Xenopus tropicalis: one gene and its partners. The protein of the gene in region 3 purifies or fractionates together with the protein of the main gene of each other region. This does not show direct contact. Links are inferred from orthologs where the notes say so. Each region holds a gene or a part of one and is shown on either strand. Other genes may lie near its edges. The genes, in order: fgfr1op2, cttnbp2nl and stk25.

Region 1 (7,790 bases), on a different chromosome or scaffold from region 3:
CATCAGTCCCTGCCCCAGTGAGCTTACAATCCAAGGGCCCTATCCCATTCCCATCAGCCCCTGCCCCAGTGAGCTTACAATCTAAGGGCCCTATCCCATTCCCATCAGCCCCTGCCCCAGTGAGCTTACAATCTAAGGTCCCTATCCCATTCCCATCAGCCCCTGCCCCAGTGAGCTTACAATCTAAGGTCCCTATCCCATTCCCATCAGTCCCTGCCCCAGTGAGCTTACAATCTAAGGTCCCTATCACATTCCCATCAGTCCCTGCCCCAGTGAGCTTACAATCTAAGGTCCCTATCCCATTCCCATCAGCCCCTTGCCCCAGTGAGCTTACAATCTAAGGTCCCTATCCCATTCCCATCAGCCCCTGCCCCAGTGAGCTTACAATCTAAGGCCCCTATACCATTCCCATCAGTCCCTGCCCCAGTGAGCTTACAATCTAAGGCCCCATACCATTCCCATCAGCCCCTGCCCCAGTGAGCTTACAATCTAAGGTCCCTATCCCATTCCCATCAGCCCCTGCCCCAGTGAGCTTACAATCTAAGGCCCCTATACCATTCCCATCAGCCCCTGCCCCAGTGAGCTTACAATCTAAGGTCCCTATCCCATTCCCATCAGTCCCTGCCCCAGTGAGCTTACAATCTAAGGTCCCTATCCCATTCCCATCAGTCCCTGCCCCAGTGAGCTTACAATCTAAGGTCCCTATCCCATTCCCATCAGTCCCTGCCCCAGTGAGCTTACAATCTAAGGTCCCCATCACATTCCCCTCAGTCCCAGTGAGCTTACAATTCAATGTAACCAGTTGTACCTATGGAGTGCAGTATATATTTCATATCCATGGTACTTACCCTTTGCCCCCTGGGCTGGGGTGATGCAGGGATGGGGGGAACACAATGGCCGTTACAGACGAGATGCAGGGAGTCTGGATGCACCTGGGGTGTCTCCTTTTCTCACCATTCTGACCTTACAGGGAGAGAGAAGACATGTTGGTGCCGGGGCTACACAAGCAGTAGGGCAGCTCCCACCTCTCATACTATTCAGACTCATGAACTGTAGAACCCCCCCCCCCCCCCACCTTCCATTTCCCTCAAATTCTCTTCCCAGTTCTACTCCCCAAATCCTGCCCCCCCTGCACTCCCGTCCCACAAGTCCTAGGGTGCCCCTGGGTACCCCTGTGTCCTTCCCTACTCACCTCCCGTCACAGGCCTGAGCAGCTCATCGCTACCCCATTAATCGTACGTTTTGCCCTTTCATGCTGTTTGGTCCCTGCCGCTTTCTGTTTTTAGTAGATCTTATCCAGGGGGGCGGGCACTAATCGCCTGGAGATACAGTGATTGGCTAATTTAATAGATGAGCAGGAAGATACTGTGAGCGAATATCCGCTACAAGAGGGCTTTGCGCTGTAGGGAGCCGGACCTCTAGCAGCGAAACGTCTGTGAAATACAGTTTTCCAGTCGGAATTATATTCAGGGCGGCCCTTTGCACCGGAAGTGACGTCCTTGACAGGTTCTCAGAAGGCATGCGCGTAGCGTCACCTGCGGTTTCAGCTGAGTTTGGCTTCACTGACGGGACCAGGGCGGAAACGGAAGGGCTGGGAGCTCTGGGACCGAATCTGCCGCTTGTGGGGTGACAGGGTAAGTACGGGCAATGGCTGGCACCCTCACTCACTGGCACCCTCACTCACTGGCACCCTCACTCACTCACTCACTCACCGGCACCCTCACTCCTACATACACTCACTGACTGACTGGCACCCTCACTCCTACATACACTCACTCACTGACTGGCACCCTCACTCTTACATACACTCACTCACTGACTGGCACCCTCCCTCTTACATACACTCACTGACTGACTGGCACCCTCACTCCTACACTCACTCACTGACTGACTGGCACCCTCCCTCTTACATACACTCACTCACTGACTGGCACCCTCACTCCTACATACACTCACTCACTGACTGGCACCCTCCCTCTTACATACACTCACTCACTGACTGGCACCCTCACTCCTACATACACTCACTCACTGACTGGCACCCTCCCTCTTACATACACTCACTCACTGACTGGCACCCTCACTCCTACATACACTCACTCACTGACTGGCACCCTCACTCCTACATACACTCACTGACTGACTGGCACCCTCACTCCTACATACACTCACTCACTGACTGGCACCCTCCCTCTTACATACACTCACTCACTGACTGGCACCCTCCCTCTTACATACACTCACTCACTGACTGGCACCCTCACTCCTACATACACTCACTCACTGACTGGCACCCTCCCTCTTACATACACTCACTGACTGACTGGCACCCTCACTCCTACATACACTCACTGACTGACTGGCACCCTCCCTCTTACATACACTCACTGACTGACTGGCACCCTCACTCCTACATACACTCACTGACTGACTGGCACCCTCACTCACTGACTGGCACCCTCCCTCTTACATACACTCACTCACTGACTGGCACCCTCCCTCTTACATACACTCACTGACTGACTGGCACCCTCACTCCTACATACACTCACTCACTGACTGGCACCCTCACTCCTACATACACTCACTGACTGACTGGCACCCTCACTCCTACATACACTCACTCACTGACTGGCACCCTCACTCCTACATACACTCACTGACTGACTGGCACCCTCACTCCTACATACACTCACTGACTGACTGGCACCCTCACTCCTACATACACTCACTGACTGACTGGCACCCTCACTCCTACATACACTCACTGACTGACTGGCACCCTCACTCCTACATACACTCACTCACTGACTGGCACCCTCACTCCTACATACACTCACTCACTGACTGGTACCCTCACTCCTACATACACTCACTCACTGACTGGCACCCTCACTCCTACATACACTCACTCACTGACTGGCACCCTCACTCCTACATACACTCACTCACTGACTGGCACCCTCACTCCTACATACACTCACTCACTGACTGGCACCCTCACTCCTACATACACTCACTGACTGACTGGCACCCTCACTCCTACATACACTCACTGACTGACTGGCACCCTCACTCCTACATACACTCACTCACTGACTGGCACCCTCACTCCTACATACACTCACTGACTGACTGGCACCCTCACTCCTACATACACTCACTGACTGACTGGCACCCTCACTCCTACATACACTCACTGACTGACTGGCACCCTCACTCACTCACTGGGCACCCTCACTCTTACATACACTCACTCACTGACTGGCACCCTCCCTCTTACATACACTCACTCACTGACTGGCACCCTCACTCTTACATACACTCACTCACTGACTGGCACCCTCACTCCTACATACACTCACTGACTGACTGGCACCCTCCCTCTTACATACACTCACTGACTGACTGGCACCCTCACTCCTACATACACTCACTCACTGACTGACTGGCACCCTCACTCCTACATACACTCACTGACTGACTGGCACCCTCACTCCTACATACACTCACTGACTGACTGGCACCCTCACTCCTACATACACTCACTGACTGACTGGCACCCTCACTCACTCACTGGCACCCTCACTCTTACATACACTCACTCACTGACTGGCACCCTCCCTCTTACATACACTCACTGACTGACTGGCACCCTCACTCTTACATACACTCACTCACTGACTGGCACCCTCACTCCTACATACACTCACTGACTGACTGGCACCCTCCCTCTTACATACACTCACTGACTGACTGGCACCCTCACTCCTACATACACTCACTGACTGACTGGCACCCTCCCTCTTACATACACTCACTCACTGACTGGCACCCTCACTCCTACATACACTCACTGACTGACTGGCACCCTCACTCACTCACTGGCACCCTCACTCTTACATACACTCACTCACTGACTGGCACCCTCCCTCTTACATACACTCACTCACTGACTGGCACCCTCACTCTTACATACACTCACTGACTGACTGGCACCCTCACTCCTACATACACTCACTGACTGACTGGCACCCTCACTCTTACATACACTCACTGACTGACTGGCACCCTCCCTCTTACATACACTCACTGACTGACTGGCACCCTCCCTCTTACATACACTCACTCACTGACTGGCACCCTCACTCCTACATACACTCACTCACTGACTGGCACCCTCCCTCTTACATACGCTCACTCACTGACTGGCACCCTCACTCCTACATACACTCACTGACTGACTGGCACCCTCACTCCTACATACACTCACTGACTGACTGGCACCCTCACTCTTACATACACTCACTCACTGACTGGCACCCTCACTCTTACATACACTCACTGACTGACTGGCACCCTCACTCTTACAAACACTCACTGACTGACTGGCACCCTCACTCCTACACTCACTGACTGACTGGCACCCTCACTCCTACATACACTCACTCACTGACTGGCACCCTCACTCCTACACTCACTCACTGACTGGCACCCTCACTCCTACACTCACTGACTGACTGGCACCCTCACTCCTACACTCACTGACTGACTGGCACCCTCACTCCTACACTCACTGACTGACTGGCACCCTCACTCCTACACTCACTGACTGACTGGCACCCTCACTCCTACACTCACTGACTGACCGGCACCCTCACTCCTACATACACTCACTGACTGGCACCCTCACTCCTACATACACTCACTCACTGACTGGCACCCTCACTCCTACATACACTCACTCACTGACTGGCACCCTCACTCCTACATACACTCACTGACTGACTGGCACCCTCACTCCTACACTCACTGACTGACTGGCACCCTCACTCCTACACTCACTGACTGACTGGTACCCTCACTCCTACACTCACTGACTGACTGGCACCCTCACTCCTACACTCACTGACTGACTGGCGCCCTCACTCCTACACTCACTGACTGACTGGCACCCTCACTCACACACTCCTGTTCTTCCCAGGAACCATGAGCTGTACCATAGAGAAGGTTCTGGCCGACGCTAAAGCCTTAGTGGAGCGACTGCGGGAACACGATGGGGCGGCAGAAGTGCTTATTGAGCAGACGACTACGCTGAATAAACGAGTGGAAGCCATGAAACAGGTAATGCCCAACCCACAGCCTTTATCTACTGGTGCCCAGCGGGCCCCTTGCTTTTAAATCTGCAGCCCTCCAGCTTGTGTAGACTACAACTCCCTGCATCCCCGTGGCTGTTGGGGAGTTGTCCCCGCTTAAAGCTGGAGGCTCAGGACAGAGGAAGGTGCTGAAATGTCAGCCTGCAATTGAGTATGAGTGTGAGTGTGACACGACCTGTTGCTGCATTTACAGTACCAAGAGGAGGTCCAGGAGCTGAATGAGATCGCGCGGCACCGCCCACGTTCTACTCTGGTCCTTGGCATCCAGCAAGAGAACCGGCAAATTCGCCAACTTCAGCAGGAAAACAAAGGTTGGATTCGCCAGCTTATCTGCCCATGTATGGGCTCCCCTGCCAGGCCTGCCTGGCCAATGTCTGGCCTAAAATTGGGCAGATCCTGATAGGGCAGGTTTGATTTTCCTGTCCAATGGCGCCTATGGGCTCGATGTATTTATATAGTGCATTATATATTGAATTAGCATGATATGTGGCATATAGGGAGAAGATTCACCTTTTAAGTTAACTTTTAGTATGATGTAGAGAGTTTGCAATTGGTCTTAATTTTTTATTATTTGTAGTTTTATAGTTATTTCCTTTTCAGTTTAGGAGCTCTGCAGTTTGGAATTTCAGCAGCTATTTGGTTGCTAGGGTCCGAGTTACCTTAGCAACCAGGGAGTAGTTTGGATGGGAGACAGGTATATGAATAGGGGAGGGGCTGAATAGAAAGATAAGGAATAAAAAGTAACAATAACAATAAATCTGGAGCCTCACAGAGCAATAGGGTTTGGCTCCCGGGGTCAGTGACCCCCTTTTGAAAGCTGCAAAGAGTCAGAAGAAGAAGGCAAATCATTCAAAAACTATAAGAAATAAATAATGAAGACCAATTGAAAAGTTGCTTAGAGTAGGTCATTCTATAACATACTTAAAGGTGAGGGGGCTAGTGCAGAGATGTAACAAAGCTGATCCCTGTGTCTCACAGAGTTACGCACCTCCCTAAAGGAGCACCAGTCGGCCCTGGAACTCATCATGAGTAAGTACCGGGAGCAGATGTTCCGCCTGCTGATGGCCAGCAAAAAGGACGACCCCGGCATTATTATGAAGCTGAAAGAGCAACATTCCAAGGTACATTCTCTCCCTGAGGTAGGTGGGAAAGGGTTAAACTTAGGGCAAACCCCACTGACCCCCAATAAACTGACTTATTAGCACATTAATCAGTGCAACTATGTATATGAACTATTTATATTGTGTGCACAAGGGGCGTGGCCAAAACAAGGGGCGTGGCTAAAATATTGGTACTACACGCTTGTGTTCATGGTGGGGGGCATTTAAATGAACTTGTGCGGGGCCCCAAGGTTTCTGATGCCGTAAGTGCAGGTAACTACCAAAGCTTTGTAATTCAGGGGGGGCCAACCCCCAATTTAAAGTGCAGAATTATCAAATGGGAAAATTAACGACCGTCCCCCTGATTGTCCCCCCCGTGTAGGAGCTTCAGGCCCACATAGAGAAAATCACCGAAATGACTGCGGTAATGAAACGGGCCATTGAAATCGACGAGCAGCAGGGTAACCAAGAGCACGACCGCATCGTTAAACTGGAGGTAGGTACCTGCCGGCTGTGAGACTGCTCAGTCAGTAGAAGGCTCGGCAAAGAGACAACGCCATTGGTTACAGAGCCAGGGGGTTGGGCTTAATGCACCACTAACACCGAATCCTTTGCAAAAGATTTGGCCGAATACTGCACTGAATCCTAATCCTAACTTGCATAAGCAAGGGTTAAAGGGGCGGTAGCTTTTAGTACGTTATAGAATGGCCAATTCCAAGCAACTTTTCAATTGGTCTTCATTATTTATTTCTTATAGTTTGTACATTATTTGCCTTCCTCTTCTCTTTGCAGCTTTCAAATGGGGGTCACTGACCCCGGCAGCCAAACCCTATTGCTCTGTGAGGCTCCAGTTTTATTGTTATTGTTACTTTTTATTCCTTATCTTTCTATTCAGCCCCTCCCCTATTCATATACCAGTTTCTCATCCCTGGTTGCCAAGGTAATTTGGACCCTAGCAACAGGATAACTGACCCCGGCAGCCAAAACCTATTGCTCTGTGAGGCTCCAGTTTTATTGTTATTGTTACTTTTTATTCCTTATCTTTCTATTCAGCCCCTCCCCTATTCATATATTATCCTCTCATTCTAACTGCTTCCTGGTCCCTAAGGTAATTAGGACCCTAGCAACCAGCTAGCTGCCAAAACTCCAAACTGCAGAGCTTCTAAACAAAAACTGAAATAATTAAAAAACTACATATAATAAAAAATGAAGACCAATTGCAAATGATCTCAGAATATCACTCTCTAGATCAGGCTAAACTCAAAGGGGAACATCCCCTTTAAGGAAGTAAAAGGTGAGGGATATGTAAGACGGTTGATGCTGATTGGCTGAAATGAGCTTTTCTTTACCCGCAGCAGGAAAACAAGTGGCTGAGGAAAACCCTACAGATCACCCGAGCATCTTTCCTTAATCTGCACAAAGAAGACGCGGCGGAAAGCTCCTCCCACTCTGCGTCGTCGGTCCCCAACACCGACCTGAGCTTAAGGAAAAGCTGAGCGCCCCCCCCCCCGGGCCCCCCAGTTTCTACCTGTTG
Region 2 (6,457 bases), on a different chromosome or scaffold from region 3:
TGCACCTATTGCTCTAGGGTTAGACACAAACTTGTCCTCTGACAATAGCCTGGTAACCACCATTAATATGCTGGTGACCCCCCCTCCCCAATGATGCCTCTACCAGAGGTGTGAAATGGAGACTGGGTGAAATAAAGCAAAACAGAAGAGCTTAGAAGTGATCTGAGTTACACAGCGCTTTACTCCATTGTGAAAATGTTGGAAAAAATGTTGTTAAAATGTAATATAAACGTCGTTTAAAAGACAAATTCCCAAAAGTGCCTTTAAACTGTCTTTCTTTCACCTAAAACTAAAAAGAGTCATAATATAGGCGGATTTCTGTTTGTGAATATGGAGAAAGTGTTTTACACCAGTTTTACCATCACTCTTGCTCCAAAAAAAGGCTATATCCATTTTTGTGAATTCCCCCCGATTTATATTAAAAGTTTAGAAATGTTAAAGTACATATGTAACCTAAGCATCATAGGGGTTGGGATTCATATTGATTATCCATGTCAACTATACACACACATTGCTACAGGTTTTGTAAATTTGCATAGAGCTTTGTATAATCAATACAACAGCAAACAGCATCCCAGAGTATCAATTCCACTCCACCCTTCCCTTGTTTCAACTTAAAGTGATGGATTTTGGAACTTAAAAGTCCATGACCTCTGCTTTACATGGTGGCCAGTTCACATATTCTCTAGGAAGCAGAGAGACTTCAAGTCCCAGAATCTACTAAGGAGGTCCCTGCCCATGGATCTTACAAGTTCAACTATTATTATATAACATAATACTACTTTTGTTTAACCCACTTCAGCAGTAAAATAGCTTCCTTTTAAGCAAACATGGAAATGACAAAGGAGCAGTATAAATAATGACTAAAGTACGCATGAACAGCTTGAATAATAACCATTAATGACAGGTCTGCCGAAAGCATGTCAGTTACTTCAGCTGACTTCAGCTGTGTTTTATTGACTATTGTAAATTTAAATAGGTGAAATTAGAAATAGGCAACAACTTCAATGAGATTTAATCAGTTAGGCTTTTTTTGATTCCAACCCTAAAATTAATCATGGTAATTTTAGTAGGTAAATGTGGAAATCAGAATTATCCAACCTAGAGAAAGATTGGATGAATGCAGTGTTTGATGCTGTACGTATATATGCTAATACAATGAAAAAGTATAGTATTCCTAGCCTAATCATATGTAGCCTTAGTTGTTCTTTAGAAAACTGTTATATTCCCACATATATTATATTCATACATTTATACATGTATTTTTATGCCTCTATATTTTCAGCTGGAATTTGAGAAGTCCCAAGTTAAGAAATTAGAAAAAGAACAGAAACGACTTTCCAGTCAGCTGGAGGAAGAGAAAGCCCGCCACAAGCAGCTGTCATCTGTGCTGATGAAAGAGTGTACAAAAGCCAACAACAGGGCAGTGGAAGAAGGACAGAGAGTAGATGATGTTAACCTAAAGCTGGAAAAGGTTAGGAGCAGAGTAAGTCAGCTAGAAGAAGAGCTATCTCTTGAAAAGAAACGAGGCTTGCAGATAGAAGCACAGGTGGAAAAGCAACTTTCAGAGTTTGATATTGAGAGAGAGCAACTGAAAGCCAAGTTAAATAGGGAAGAAAATCGCACAAAAACTTTGAAAGAAGAATTGGAGTCCTTAAAAAAGACATTGAAAGAGCTAAACACCACCCACCAAGTTTCAGTGCCTTCATGCAAGGTAACAAGTGAGCTGGTGTCTATTTGTGTATCAACAGAGAATGCTGACGTAGTATCTGTGTCATGCCAAACCGATCCCTTCCAACATGAAAAAAGTTACACAGATAATTCTGCAAAATCCAATGTCTCATTTACTGCTCCATCTAAGATTCCTCAGCCATATTCCAAAATAAATGGACACTGTAATACATCAGCACACAGCAATGAGCACATTTTAAAATTAAATGTGGGAGACAACCAGAAAGAAAAGTGCAATGTATCAGATAGCCTTTCTGACAGTGGGAACTCTCCAGTCAGAGTAGAGTCTCCTCTGCATATGACAGGATATCTTCCCTCAAGTGGTGCTTCTTCCTCACCCATCAGTACAGCAGCTTCTTCCTTAACTTCTTCTCCATGTTCTTCTCCAGTGCTTTCACGTCGTCTGATTGGAGCAACAGCCAACAGTCCTGGTTATCAATCTTCCTACCAAGTTGGTATCAACCAGCGCTTCCATGCTGCCCGTCACAAGTTCCAGTCTCAGGCTGAGCACGATCAACATGTTACTGGTCTACAGAGCCCCCCTTCTAGGGACCTATCCCCAACCTTGGCAGATAATTCAGCAGCCAAGCAACTTGCACGAAATACTGTGACTCAGGTGTTATCCCGCTTCACTAGCCAACAGACCTCCAGCAAACCTGTACCTCCCAACAGCTCACCTTTTGGTACAGATTATAGAACTCTTGCAAATGCTGCCTCCAACCAAAAAAGTGATGGAAGCCATTCCCCAAACCCTCTAAAAGTTTCTAGCCCTCTCAGTCCTGTATCGCCTGGAATCAAATCACCCACCATATCTCGGGTTGAACGAGGAAACCCCCCACCAATTCCTCCAAAGAAACCAGGGTTAGCTCAGTCTCCAGCTTCTCCCATACCTTCATCCAAATCACCAAACCAAACATCTGCTCTGACATCCTCAGCAGATGGATCAAATACCCACTGCTCCAATAATGGCGTCATTACAAATGGAAATGAAATTGAAATAATGCTTCCATCTGGTAGCTAGTTTTACCCTGTTTGGGGGGTGAGGACATTGTTACATGACTTAATAACACTGTCAGACTAAACTATTCGAGTCTGAATGTGCTATACAATTAAGATGATCAAAAGTATGTTATTTATTTTAATAGTCAACAAACATTTTCTATAGCCCATATTTCCTATTTCCTTCTTTCCTTTGTGGAAGTATTATTCTTTTTAATTAGGAAACAAATTCCTGGGACTTTCTGATAGAATAGGGCATAAAATGCAGTCTTAAAAGTGGACAAGAGTGTCTGAAAAATGTGGTTGCTGATAATTAAGAAAACCAAGTAATGTCTGGCAATTATAAAGTTATCGATACCAGCAGCTTTTGATCATGATTTCCGGATATCTGTGATTAATTGCCTGCAGTAATGTCTGTTAGTTACAATTAAGGAGTAAGGAAACATTGGCTTGGGAATCCATACCAGCTTTGCCAGTAAATTAGTCTTTTATCCTGTTTTGCGATATATACTGAATTATATATATATATATATATATATATATATATGTAGAGAGAGAAAAAATATGTTGTATTAGATGTATTTTAACTTTTAATTAACATCCCTATTACTGAATCCTGCCAGCGTTTTAACACTGTATGTACAGAGACTATAGCAGCAGTGAAGACGTGTGAGACAACTATCCAGTGGTCATGTTGGCTTGGGGCAAACCAAATTTATGTAGTTGTCCGATAAAAAAAAAAACAGCTTGCCAAATGTCTCCTTATGTATATTTTAGCCTTTGACTATTTTTACCTACTATTTCCAGTTGGGCAAGCAGGTTTAAAAAGGGTTGATGTTTCTAACAATACATACTAGCTGTGAACAAAAATGGGCTGATCTTACTTAAAGTTGAGCAGCCTGCTTTAAAATTATTGCCATTTTCAGTCAAACATTTTTCATGCTTCTTTTACTGGTAAGTGAAAGAATATTAACAGTGGCCACTGGGTGCTGCTGTTTACCTACCATATATATATATATATATATATATATATATGTGTGTGTGTGTGTGTGTATACAGTATATATATATATATATATATATATATATTATATATATTTTATTTATATATATATATATATATATATATATATATATATATATATATATATATATATATATATATATATATATATATATATATATATATATAAAATTTCTGAACCACAAAGTGAAGGTTTAACTGCTGAGGGCACAAAGCACAGTAATATCTTCAGAAAGATATTTCAAGAAACCTTTATAATGAGCTAAAATATTATTGGTGGTGTCAGAAGAAGATGTATTAAAAAGACTTTGTAATATAAATAAGTAAAGAGTCAAAAAGCAAACATGGCATAATACAAACAAAATAATTTATTGTAAATGCCTGCAATCCTGGCATTTTGTTTCTTTAACGTACAGGTGATCACTGTATGTAGTAAAGCATATTAAATCTGCAGTAAAATAAGCACACTAATGCACTGAGTTAATAATTAAATATGAATGCTTAATTATTTTTTTAACAATTATATTTACTAAATTGTATGTATGTGCAGTTGCTGTACAATTGGTAGGTCAGCAATTCACTGATTTGTCCTCATAAATTATATACCTAAAGAGATGATTTGCAAAGTGTAAAAAGCAGTAAATCATAGCTACAAAAATATAGTCAGGAAGAATCAGAGAACCACGAGGCTGGACTGAGTAGTCTCTCTTTTGTTCTCTGGAGTACATTTTCCAGTTTTGCTCTACATGTCATACAGGGCAGAATTTTAATTACAACCTAAATTGCAACCTAAACATGCATTTCCTAAAAGTTCTCCAAAAACCATGAAAATGTTATTTGCCTCCAACTGCTGTGATTTCACTTGAATGGGTGTCACTCACCACCCTCAGTTAGTATTCAAAAGTACTCCATGTAAATGGGAAGCATATAGTACTAGTACCAGCATAACAATGCTGTGTGCCATAGCCCTGATACTGGGTCCATCGTAGGTCTTGTTCTTGGTGTGAAGTGAAAAGATGCACTGGAGCCCTGACAATTAGAAACTGCATATTTATTCACCATTTACACCTCTCCAATGAATGTCCTAGTTGGCATACACCCATATATTGGATATGTATAAGAGATGCCAGCATTTTTGCTATGTGTACATGTTCAGGCAGGGCTGACACATCCAAGATTCCTGATATATGCCATCATTATAAAATTTGTAACATATTGGCACTGCCATTCAGCTTGACCACTGTCGTAATCTCTCTAGTGTTATTCTTTCCCAAAAAGTGCCTTTAAATGTGTTAACAATCATGTAAGCAACTCTGAGCTGTGAAACCAGTTGGATATCTACAACCTGGAAGTGCAGATATGTATTAAAAAAAATACCATGGCTGTTTTCTGTTGTAAGCATTATTTTAAAGGCAAGGGGCTCAAGATTCAACATTTAAATTTTAGCAGTATTTATTAAAGCAAATGTGGCTTCTTTATAAAAAGGTGTGATGTGGAATTGTTTCATTGGTTTTTATCTTAAATTACTAAGGTGATTCTAAAGGCCTTATTCAGTGTATTTGGATGAAAGATTACGCCTTCAAATTATTTAAGAATCTAGCGGATCACATAATGGAGGTCTGTTGCAACATCAGTTGCATGTAGAAACAACAATCCCAGCCCATGTATATGACCATTACTTATGTAAAACATCTGACCAAATAATCATGTGACAGCTATCTGGATACAGTTTTCAGGCCAGCTTGTAACGGACAAATATGTTACTGATTCCTACTGGGACATTGAAAGAGAAAATAGAACTGTGCATTCCGTTTGATTAATACAGCCTGATGTCTATAGTTTAAACTCTTACGTTTTCTTTTATTTGCAATGGTAAAATGATTGCAGCTTTGTTTTTGTAGAGGATTGATGCATTCTGAAATTATGAATTATAAATTAAAAATAGAGCTGTACTGGTAAAACACCCTGTAAAGGTCTCTTGATAAATGTTTTTTTGTTCAGTGCTACAGGCCATTGATGAAATACGGTTAGTAATTTAAAGGGGCTGTTCAAGTTAGCATGAACTTTTTGTATGAATTATTATGTTTATCAGACTTTGCAGAATTTGCAACTGGCCTGTATTTTTTTGGTTTGTTTGTTTTGAAATGTTTAGCTTTCTGTTAAGACATCTGGTTACCATCCTAAGTATCATTGAAGTTTATAAAAGCAAACATTTAACCTCTCACACCTAGAATTTCTCTAGTAGCTGGTCTTAGAAGCAATTACCATTGGAATGGCTAAAATAACATATAGGCAGTGTTTGTACACATTTAAGTAGTTGGAATTTTATAATTTTTAAATTTCAGAGCTGCAAAACAAAAAAAGTTAATTTAGAAACCCCACTGATCAACTTAAACTGAAACTTGCATTAGTTTACCACTGTCTGCATCATTCTTCTTAGCAATTGTGAGGTGAAAGTGAAGCAAAAATTTATTTGGCTAACTTTTATGATGTTTAATTCATTTTGTATGCCATAAATCAATGTTCAGAGCCATCCTAGCTATACCATTTATAGCTAGGATATAGATTAAAAGTTTGCTGTAGTTTTCAATAGCGTCTTTATACCGTTTTTCTTTACAGTAGTAGCTGATGTTTCAGAACTCATGTTGCAAATGATAGTTTAAGGAATACTGTCATGGGAAAGCAAAATTTTTTTATAAAAATG
Region 3 (7,809 bases):
AAGTACATTAATTAGGTACTATTTACTACCGTACAAGCAGTCTTCCAAAAATACATTCACACCTAGATATAGTATTGACCTAGAATTTAGTCTATAATAGACTGAATATTGGGTGCAAAGGGGTACATGGAGGATGAACAGGGAAAGAATGGAGAGTAATTGAGTGGGATAAGACAGGTGATATAGGGTAAGGTTAAAAGATAGATGGTATTAAGCTGGTGTCAAACTGGGTCACTTAAAGCCCACCAGAGAAAATTACACCTTGGGCTCACTTTTAAAGAAAATAGATAGTGCCAAATAGTATAGGCTTCTATACTGTATATACACCCATAGTGGAAATAATCATGGGCTGTTAGGAATTCTCCTATGCTGGGGCCAACCGGGAGATCCTTTGGTACTCAGGTATGGCAGTTCAAACAAAATCAATTGATACCTTCCAAAAAGTAGTTATTTTTGGCAGCAAAACTTTAAGACATGGAACGACTTAAGACATGTAAAAAAATTTGGCTCCTAAAAAGGGGCTGCTGAAGGTTTAAGTGCAGTGGTGTAACTTATCAGGCCCAGGCCCCCTTCCTAGATCTAGACTCATATTGATTTAGGACTTGCAGTCCAATAGGGTGTTTTCTGTGCAGGCTGGACTGGCAATCTGTGAATTCTGGCAAATGCCAGAGGGGCTGCTGCAAGATGCCACAGACTGTTTATTGGGCTGGCAAGGGGCTTTTTGGACCTTTGTGTACTTGAAATGCCAGGGTTTATTTTGAATCCCAGTCTGTTCCTGTTTCTGTGTACTTCCCCCAAGGTTTTTTCATTTTCAGCCTAAAGAGATACCCTGTTGCAGAGATTCTACCCTCTCCAGTTGCTATAATAGCAGCTCTTGGCTAATGCCAAATAAGGCTCTTACCTTTAATGTCTCGATGGATCTTTCTCTCCGAATGCAAATAATCAAGTCCTTTTAAGATTTCTCGTAGTATAGTGGCAATGTACGCCTCTTCCAGAGGGCCTGGTTTCAGCTAAGTTAACAGAACATATTGATGGGTGATGCAAGAATTTAGGACCAGTGCAAATTAGCAGAGTGAGTATCTACATCAAAAATGCTGCACACATCAGCCCACAGCAGAAGTGTGAATGTGAATTTAGAGTTGCCAAGTGTCTAGTATTTAACAGGCCTAGTTACACAAAGGAAGACAAGAAATCCTGTGTTTCTTTTGATATATATCATAACATATCTGTGAGTGCTTATGGTTGTATTTACATAGACCTTTCTGATAAAGCTTACTTAGTTTTTACCTTTCCTTCTCCTATTCTGATACAATTTGCAACTGTCCATTCTTTTTTTATTATATGTGGTTATTTAATTATTTAGCTTTTTAGTGAAAAAAAAAAAAATCAAAACAATGCAACTGTAGCCTCACAGAGCAATAGTTTTTTTGCTGCTGGGGTCAGTGACCCCCATTTGAAAGCTGAAAATAGGCAGTAGAAGGCAGCAAATAATTAAAAAAAAAACTATAAAAAAGAAAATATGAAGACCAACTGACAAGTTGCTGGATGGAACCTGGATAATGCAAAAGACAGTTAAGACATATTTCCTTACCAGGTCCAGAGCAGAGCCTCCTCCCAAATACTCCATTATTATCCATAGCTTTGATCCCTGAGGATAGAGGAGAATCTGTCAGATGCGGGCAGACATTCTAGAGCTGATATTGCAAAACAGGTAACGCTAAGAAGATAATAACTGCAGACATGCACATGTATTGTGTTTAAAAGTGTTTATCACCATATAGAGATCTATAAATCACAACCTTTATTTAAAAGCAAATGCAGTTACCTTCAGGTAGGAACCATAATAGCGAGTGATATAAGGACTGTCACACTGGCTCAGCACTGTAATTTCCTGTTGTATGTCCTCAATTTCATCCTCTGCCTCTTCCAGGTCAATAATTTTGATGGCTACAACTTCTTTACTGCGATTCTCTATGCCCTTATACACCTCTCCAAAGGAGCCCTTCCCAATGCGCTCCAGCTTGGTGAAAAGACGCTCAGGATCCATCCTAGAGCTCTGGAAATGCAGAGAGTTTACAATAAGGATAACAACTAATGGATAATCTACTGAAAGGTCCTAAGGATGCCAACCCATGGGACAGCCTGATTAGCAATTTATACTAGATGAACCACAAGCACACTAAAGCTTTGGGATATATAGAGCAGAAATCTACCACATCCCCTTCTATTGTGCATATTGGATACCATCCCTTTATGACCTTTATAAAGAGAGGCTTTATTGAGAACTTAGATAAAATATGGAGACTGTGGATAGATGAACACTGGCCTAACTATGGTTATAAGAAATAAAACTTAATAGACAATCCCAAGGGGGCAAGGGTAAATTCAAAGGATGACCCCCTGACCCTGTGTATAGATAAACATTGGCCTAACTATGGTTATAAGAAATAAAACTTAATAGACAATCCCAAGGGGGCAAGGGTAACTTCCAAGGGTGCCCCCAGCCCTCTGTGCTGATGATTTACTACTTTTCCTATTTGATCCCCACTTAATGTAATAAAAAATACCTTGGCATCATATGCTCCAATACACTCTAATTTACTGAAGACGATATTGGTCAGGTTGTCAACTACCTTGTCTAAGCTGCCTTTTTCTTTGCAGTTTAGAATCAACTTATATAAGATGATTTACTTACCTATATTGTTATAAAAACGACAAAATTCCCCCATATGGATCCCTGAGAAGCTATTCAGGTATGTCAATTCTACTGTGCTCCCATTTCTATGGGCTAATAAGTTCCCACACATGGCCTGGACCTCTCTTATGTCTCCAACTGACAAAGGAGGCCTTGCTCTCCCTTATTTAGGCTACTATTTCCTAGCCAGCCAAATTCATCATATACATGGTTGGTTCCATATAGATGAGGTGGACCCCAGCCTCTTGCTCCTGGGATTAAATTTGGGTTCCCGAGGCAGTAAAAAGTTTGCCATATAGAAGGATAGCCAACTACAATGACTGTCCCTCAACAGTCTCTGCCCCTTTGAGGTTAGCATGTACACTTACTGGACGCACACCTCTTGTACCCTCCCCCTTTCTACCACTTTGAATGAACTGTAACCTACCCCACCCTAGAGCCCTTCAGGACTGCTCCTACTGGCTGCTCTTGGGCCTTAGGTTTCTTAGGGATGTTCTAAAAATTCCCCACATACCCCACATTACTGCAGCTCAAAACAAAGTGCAAGAAGCCAGATTTGCATTTCTGTAGGTATCTCCAAATTTACCATGCATTCAGGGCACAGTATGTTAACCCCCACCTTCCCCCCAGTAAAACTGACCCCCTACACAACCTGGAGAATAAGAAACTGACATCAAGGCTTTATCAAGTACTCATAGGTACAGCCTTCCCTAGTTTTGGTTATGTTTTCATTAATTTCTCTGAGACCAAGCTTCCGAGATGCCAGCAGCCAGAGGCATCCTTTCTACACTTGTTGTAAAACTGTCCCTCGAAACAGAGTTTTTGAGGGGAGGTGATCTGGTACTTGAGTTGAGAATATGGCATTCCCATGTTTACACTCACCTGAGATCTGCCTGTTAGGGCTGGTTGCAGATGTATTGCCCCTGAACAGAACTCGTTCTCTCATCAGAGCAGTCTTGTGCTATGCCAAGAAACTAGTAGTAATGCATCTGATCGAAAATGATGCCCAAAATATTTTAATTACGAACCTCCAAATAAACAGGGGTTCATAATTAAAATAATTGTGGGGGAAGTGATTTGAAGGATGTGTAAAATGTTGTTAGAAAAGTAACATGTGGTATGGGATTACAGAGATGTACAATTTGAAGTACAGAGGTAGAATATAAGGAAACTGCTGCAGGGGGTTATTATTATTTGTAACCATTCAAACCTTTTCTTCACTTTTATTTGGTCTTTGCGTAATAGGCTCCTGCCACACGGGACAGATTAATGCAGGATAAGATTATTTCTATACATGACTGGAGTTACCTCTGTAGGTTGAGGTGTTTTTTAAAAGGATAACAACAAATGTTTTAGGCGCTTCTTATGGAGCTGCAAATCTACAGACACATGCCATTCACACACACTACAGTCAGCTTTATCAGAACACAGTTAACCTACCTGTATGTTTTTGAGTTGTGGGAAACTGGGGTACCAGGAGGAAACCCATGCAAACACAGGGAGAACAGGCAGCAATTCTATGTCCACTGCACCACCATGCTGCCCACATTTTGTGCTAGTAGTTCAAACATTGTGGGTAATTCTGGATGGCCATATTTATATAGGCCCTCGAAGGCAACCCATGCCAGTCACCTAGATTGTGGTCAAATCTAGAGGAGCAGCTGGTGGGGGGGGGGGGGGGGGGGCACATTTCTGGGTTATCAGCATGCACCAATTGCCAAAGAGTATGAGTATGCATTGCCTGTGGGGGGGCTAGGTAAACAGTAGGGTAACAAGGTCCTGCACTAGGGGTATCATTACCCCTATTTCCAGCCCTGGGAGAAGACTTCCAAAACCTGTACTACAGATACAGCCCTGCTTATTTACCATATTGTTACTATTATATAGCCCTTAGTGTAGTCCCCCATAGTATGCAACAAACTTGCTATTTCCTGTGGATATTTCCAAGTGCCAGTCAGATATAGCAGCAGTTTCCACTAAGGCTGACAGGGAATGGTAAGGGATTGGAAGGGTTAAACTGCTCACACAGAGTGTGTTCCTTCTGAACTACTTACAGTTCTGTGGTACTTTGCTTGTAGATCCCTGCTAGCACTGCAGCTGCTGACACCATGTCTTGTCCCTCGTTAGCACTGCTTACTGACACAGGAGACTCCCTGGAGCATGTGGGTGAGGAGGAGGCAGGGCACCGGCGCACACACAAACAATACTGTAAAGAAAAAGCATTGACTAAGTGTTAATACAGCAACTTCAAACAGCAGCCTGCAAGATGGAGCCCTGCTGCTCTACATACACAGCATAGGAACGGGAAGTACAGAACATGTGACCAGCAGCTGTCGCTCTCGGATTTAAAGGGACAGCACTATATTTTGCACAAGTGGTCGTTCTGCCTATTACAAGACAGCTTTATTAACAATCTCTGAGGAGAATTGTGATACAGTTGCGGTGACTTCTTTGACTGGGCACTATTATATAAAGGCATATCTGTGACACAGATCCACAAACATGTCATTTTTTCATCACCCTCCTTTGCCCTGGCCAGTCACCAGGTGCTTTTTGGGGGCTGTTGCCCCCCCCCCCCCTTACCCACTCTGGGCTTGTTTTTTTTTTACTTTAGAGCCGGTCAATATGGGGCAGAAGTGCTAGTACAGAGACTGTGCTATTGCACTATTTAAAAACAGAGATTGTTTTTGCCATCGCTGGTAATTGGCCACTCACTGCCGCCTGTGCCAAGCTTGTCACTAAGAGCAGCCCTGTCAGTCACTGTCAGTAACAGCCCAATCATCTAACCCCTGTAACCAGCACCTGAATTCATTCTGAACCCCTGCAATTGAAAAAGCCTAAAATGTGCTCAATGGCCATGCAATTATTTCTATTAACTGTGGCAGTGAATGTTTCTCCTGAGCCACAAGTGCACCTGCTGGATCCAGGTGTTTAACCATTCAAGTCACTGAAGTGGCAATGGAGAACATTATTGTGCACATCTGGACATTGAGCTGGACATTGCATGGCTGGAAAACACTGTGGGGGGGATGTCACCTCATGTGCCACTAAAATAAAATGAGGCCATAACTATCATTCCATTTCATTGCCTACTGTTCAACATTTAAGTGAGAGGGAGTGAATTTTTTGGCCACGCCTACTTTCCCAGACTTCTCCTACTGGTGGGGCCAGCGCCTTTATCAGAGGCATGCATGTATATAGAGAACAGCACAGTAGCACTGTAATTACATTTTATACATTTAATGATTCTATTAAACCAATGTGTAGGAGAGACAGGCAGTTATTTGATTGAATATCACTATGTCTAAACTAAAGTGACACATTTATTTTTCATTCGGGACACCAGAGGATTCATGCACACAATCATACAGTGTCCGACTGTCCCACCAGTAGGGTTGCCACCTGTTTGAACCTACCGCTTGGTTTCTCAAATTAGGAAAACCAGGCAGGGCCCAGTAACATTGACGAGGCAACTGGCCAATCGCAGACCCCAAGGCCTGCCTCTTCCCCACCCCATGATGTTGGGGCATTGGGCTGCCCATGCTCACTTACCTGTCTGTCTGGTTCACCTAGTGCTCACTCTTACTTTAAGCTAAACCTCCCCTACTGGTGCCAGGTCTGACTTACCCTCCTACAGATGATGTTATCTCTGCCACGCCCTCCAGTCAAGACAACTGGACCCAGGTGACAACCCCTTTTTTATACTTTATACTTTTCTGCCTAGACTGACCCCTGGTGGCTGGTGGTATGAAGTACACTTACCCTATTTTTTATTAAACCTATATTACTCTGCTGCCACCTGGTGGCCAACTTAACACATAACATTTTTGTATTACCATTTAACACACTATCACACTTATTAACCAAACATATGTTCCATTCAAATGCACTCAAATGCATCATTTTTCCACCTTCTTACAAATGCTTCAATGCTGCCTGTGCTAAATGGAAAGAAACTGTAATTAAAAATCTGAGCTGTCAATCCTATAGTGCCTGACCGGCCGCTATGCCTTAGGCATAGGCAATATAGGATTGACAGCTCAGATTTTTAAATTCATTTATAACAGATATGGATGATTTAATTAAAAAAATAATTTTGGTTTTCATGTTTTTTAATTATTATTTTTATGTGTGGCTGACAGGTCCCCTTTAAGAGTTTTACAACTTTACTCTGTTTATGACACTCAGGATAGAATAGTTAATGCTAATTTAAATGCCAATTTTTGCCATTAGTGCATACTGACCAAATAATATATATTATATATAATACAAAAGACAGTTCCCACCAACGCCATCAGTGATTGGTTAAGTTGGTTTATCACAGGCTGAAATGGTGTGTTTATCCGCACACTGAGAATAAGCCCCTATGTGGCATTAGCTAAACATCAATTTAGAAATCAATATCCTTTGAGCCCTAAGAAATCATCCTCTGGATGGACAGCTTCTGCAATAACACAAATAGCATGATATACCCTATAATATAAGCCTCTAAAATAATATGTAAGTACTTAAACTTGACCCTAAATGAGGCTGTTTCTCAAACAGGATATTAGTTTGCTTAAGGGCTCTGGTACACGGGGAGATTAGTCGCCCGCGGCAAAACTCCCTGCTCGCGGGCGACTAATCTCCCCGAGTTGCCTTCCCCCTGCCATCCCACCGGCGAACATGTAAGTCGCCGGCGGGATGGCAGACGCGGCGGGGCGATTTCGGGAAATCGCAGAAAAAGCCTCACGAGTCTTTTTCGGCGATTTGCGCAGAATCGCGCCGCCGCGTCTGCCATCCCGCCGGCGACTTACATGTTCGCCGGTGGGATGGCAGGGGGAAGGCAACTCGGGGAGATTAGTCGCCCGCGAGCAGGGAGTTTTGCCGCGGGCGTCTAATCTCCCCGTGTACCAGAGCCCTAAAGGAACAGTAACACCAAAAAATTTATATATTTCAAAGAAATTAAACTATAATGTACTGCTGCCCTGCACTGGTAAAAGTTTTGTTTTGTGTTTGCTTCATAAACATTAGTAAAGTTTATATAAACCCTGCTGTGTAACCATGGGGGCAGCCATTAAAAAGAAGAAAAGGCACAGGTTATATAGCAGCTAACAGATAAACCCTATAGAATA

Evidence for each region.
Region 1: the proteins of stk25 (region 3) and fgfr1op2 purify together in Homo sapiens (affinity purification with mass spectrometry; 5 studies listed by BioGRID and IntAct, with this or other methods). This does not show direct contact. The link is inferred for Xenopus tropicalis from reciprocal best matches to the Homo sapiens genes STK25 and FGFR1OP2.
Region 2: the proteins of stk25 (region 3) and cttnbp2nl purify together in Homo sapiens (affinity purification with mass spectrometry; 6 studies listed by BioGRID and IntAct, counting the BioPlex papers as one, with this or other methods). This does not show direct contact. The link is inferred for Xenopus tropicalis from reciprocal best matches to the Homo sapiens genes STK25 and CTTNBP2NL.

Annotation. Positions count from the first base shown.
Region 1 is NC_030679.2:2,582,654-2,590,443, forward strand, and holds the start of fgfr1op2 (FGFR1 oncogene partner 2 homolog), read left to right. Parts: upstream 1-1,530; 5' UTR 1,531-1,634; intron 1,635-4,984; 5' UTR 4,985-4,989; coding exon 4,990-5,124; intron 5,125-5,349; coding exon 5,350-5,467; intron 5,468-6,134; coding exon 6,135-6,277; intron 6,278-6,638; coding exon 6,639-6,752; intron 6,753-7,611; coding exon 7,612-7,752; 3' UTR 7,753-7,790. UniProt on the Homo sapiens protein: May be involved in wound healing pathway.
Region 2 is NC_030678.2:60,505,957-60,512,413, forward strand, and holds the end of cttnbp2nl (CTTNBP2 N-terminal-like protein), read left to right. Parts: intron 1-1,285; coding exon 1,286-2,752; 3' UTR 2,753-3,511; downstream 3,512-6,457. UniProt on the Homo sapiens protein: Regulates lamellipodial actin dynamics in a CTTN-dependent manner. Associates with core striatin-interacting phosphatase and kinase (STRIPAK) complex to form CTTNBP2NL-STRIPAK complexes.
Region 3 is NC_030681.2:125,795,610-125,803,418, reverse strand, and holds the start of stk25 (serine/threonine-protein kinase 25), read right to left. Parts: upstream 4,977-7,809; 5' UTR 4,750-4,976; intron 2,057-4,749; 5' UTR 2,048-2,056; coding exon 1,826-2,047; intron 1,649-1,825; coding exon 1,592-1,648; intron 1,011-1,591; coding exon 902-1,010; intron 1-901. UniProt on the Homo sapiens protein: Oxidant stress-activated serine/threonine kinase that may play a role in the response to environmental stress.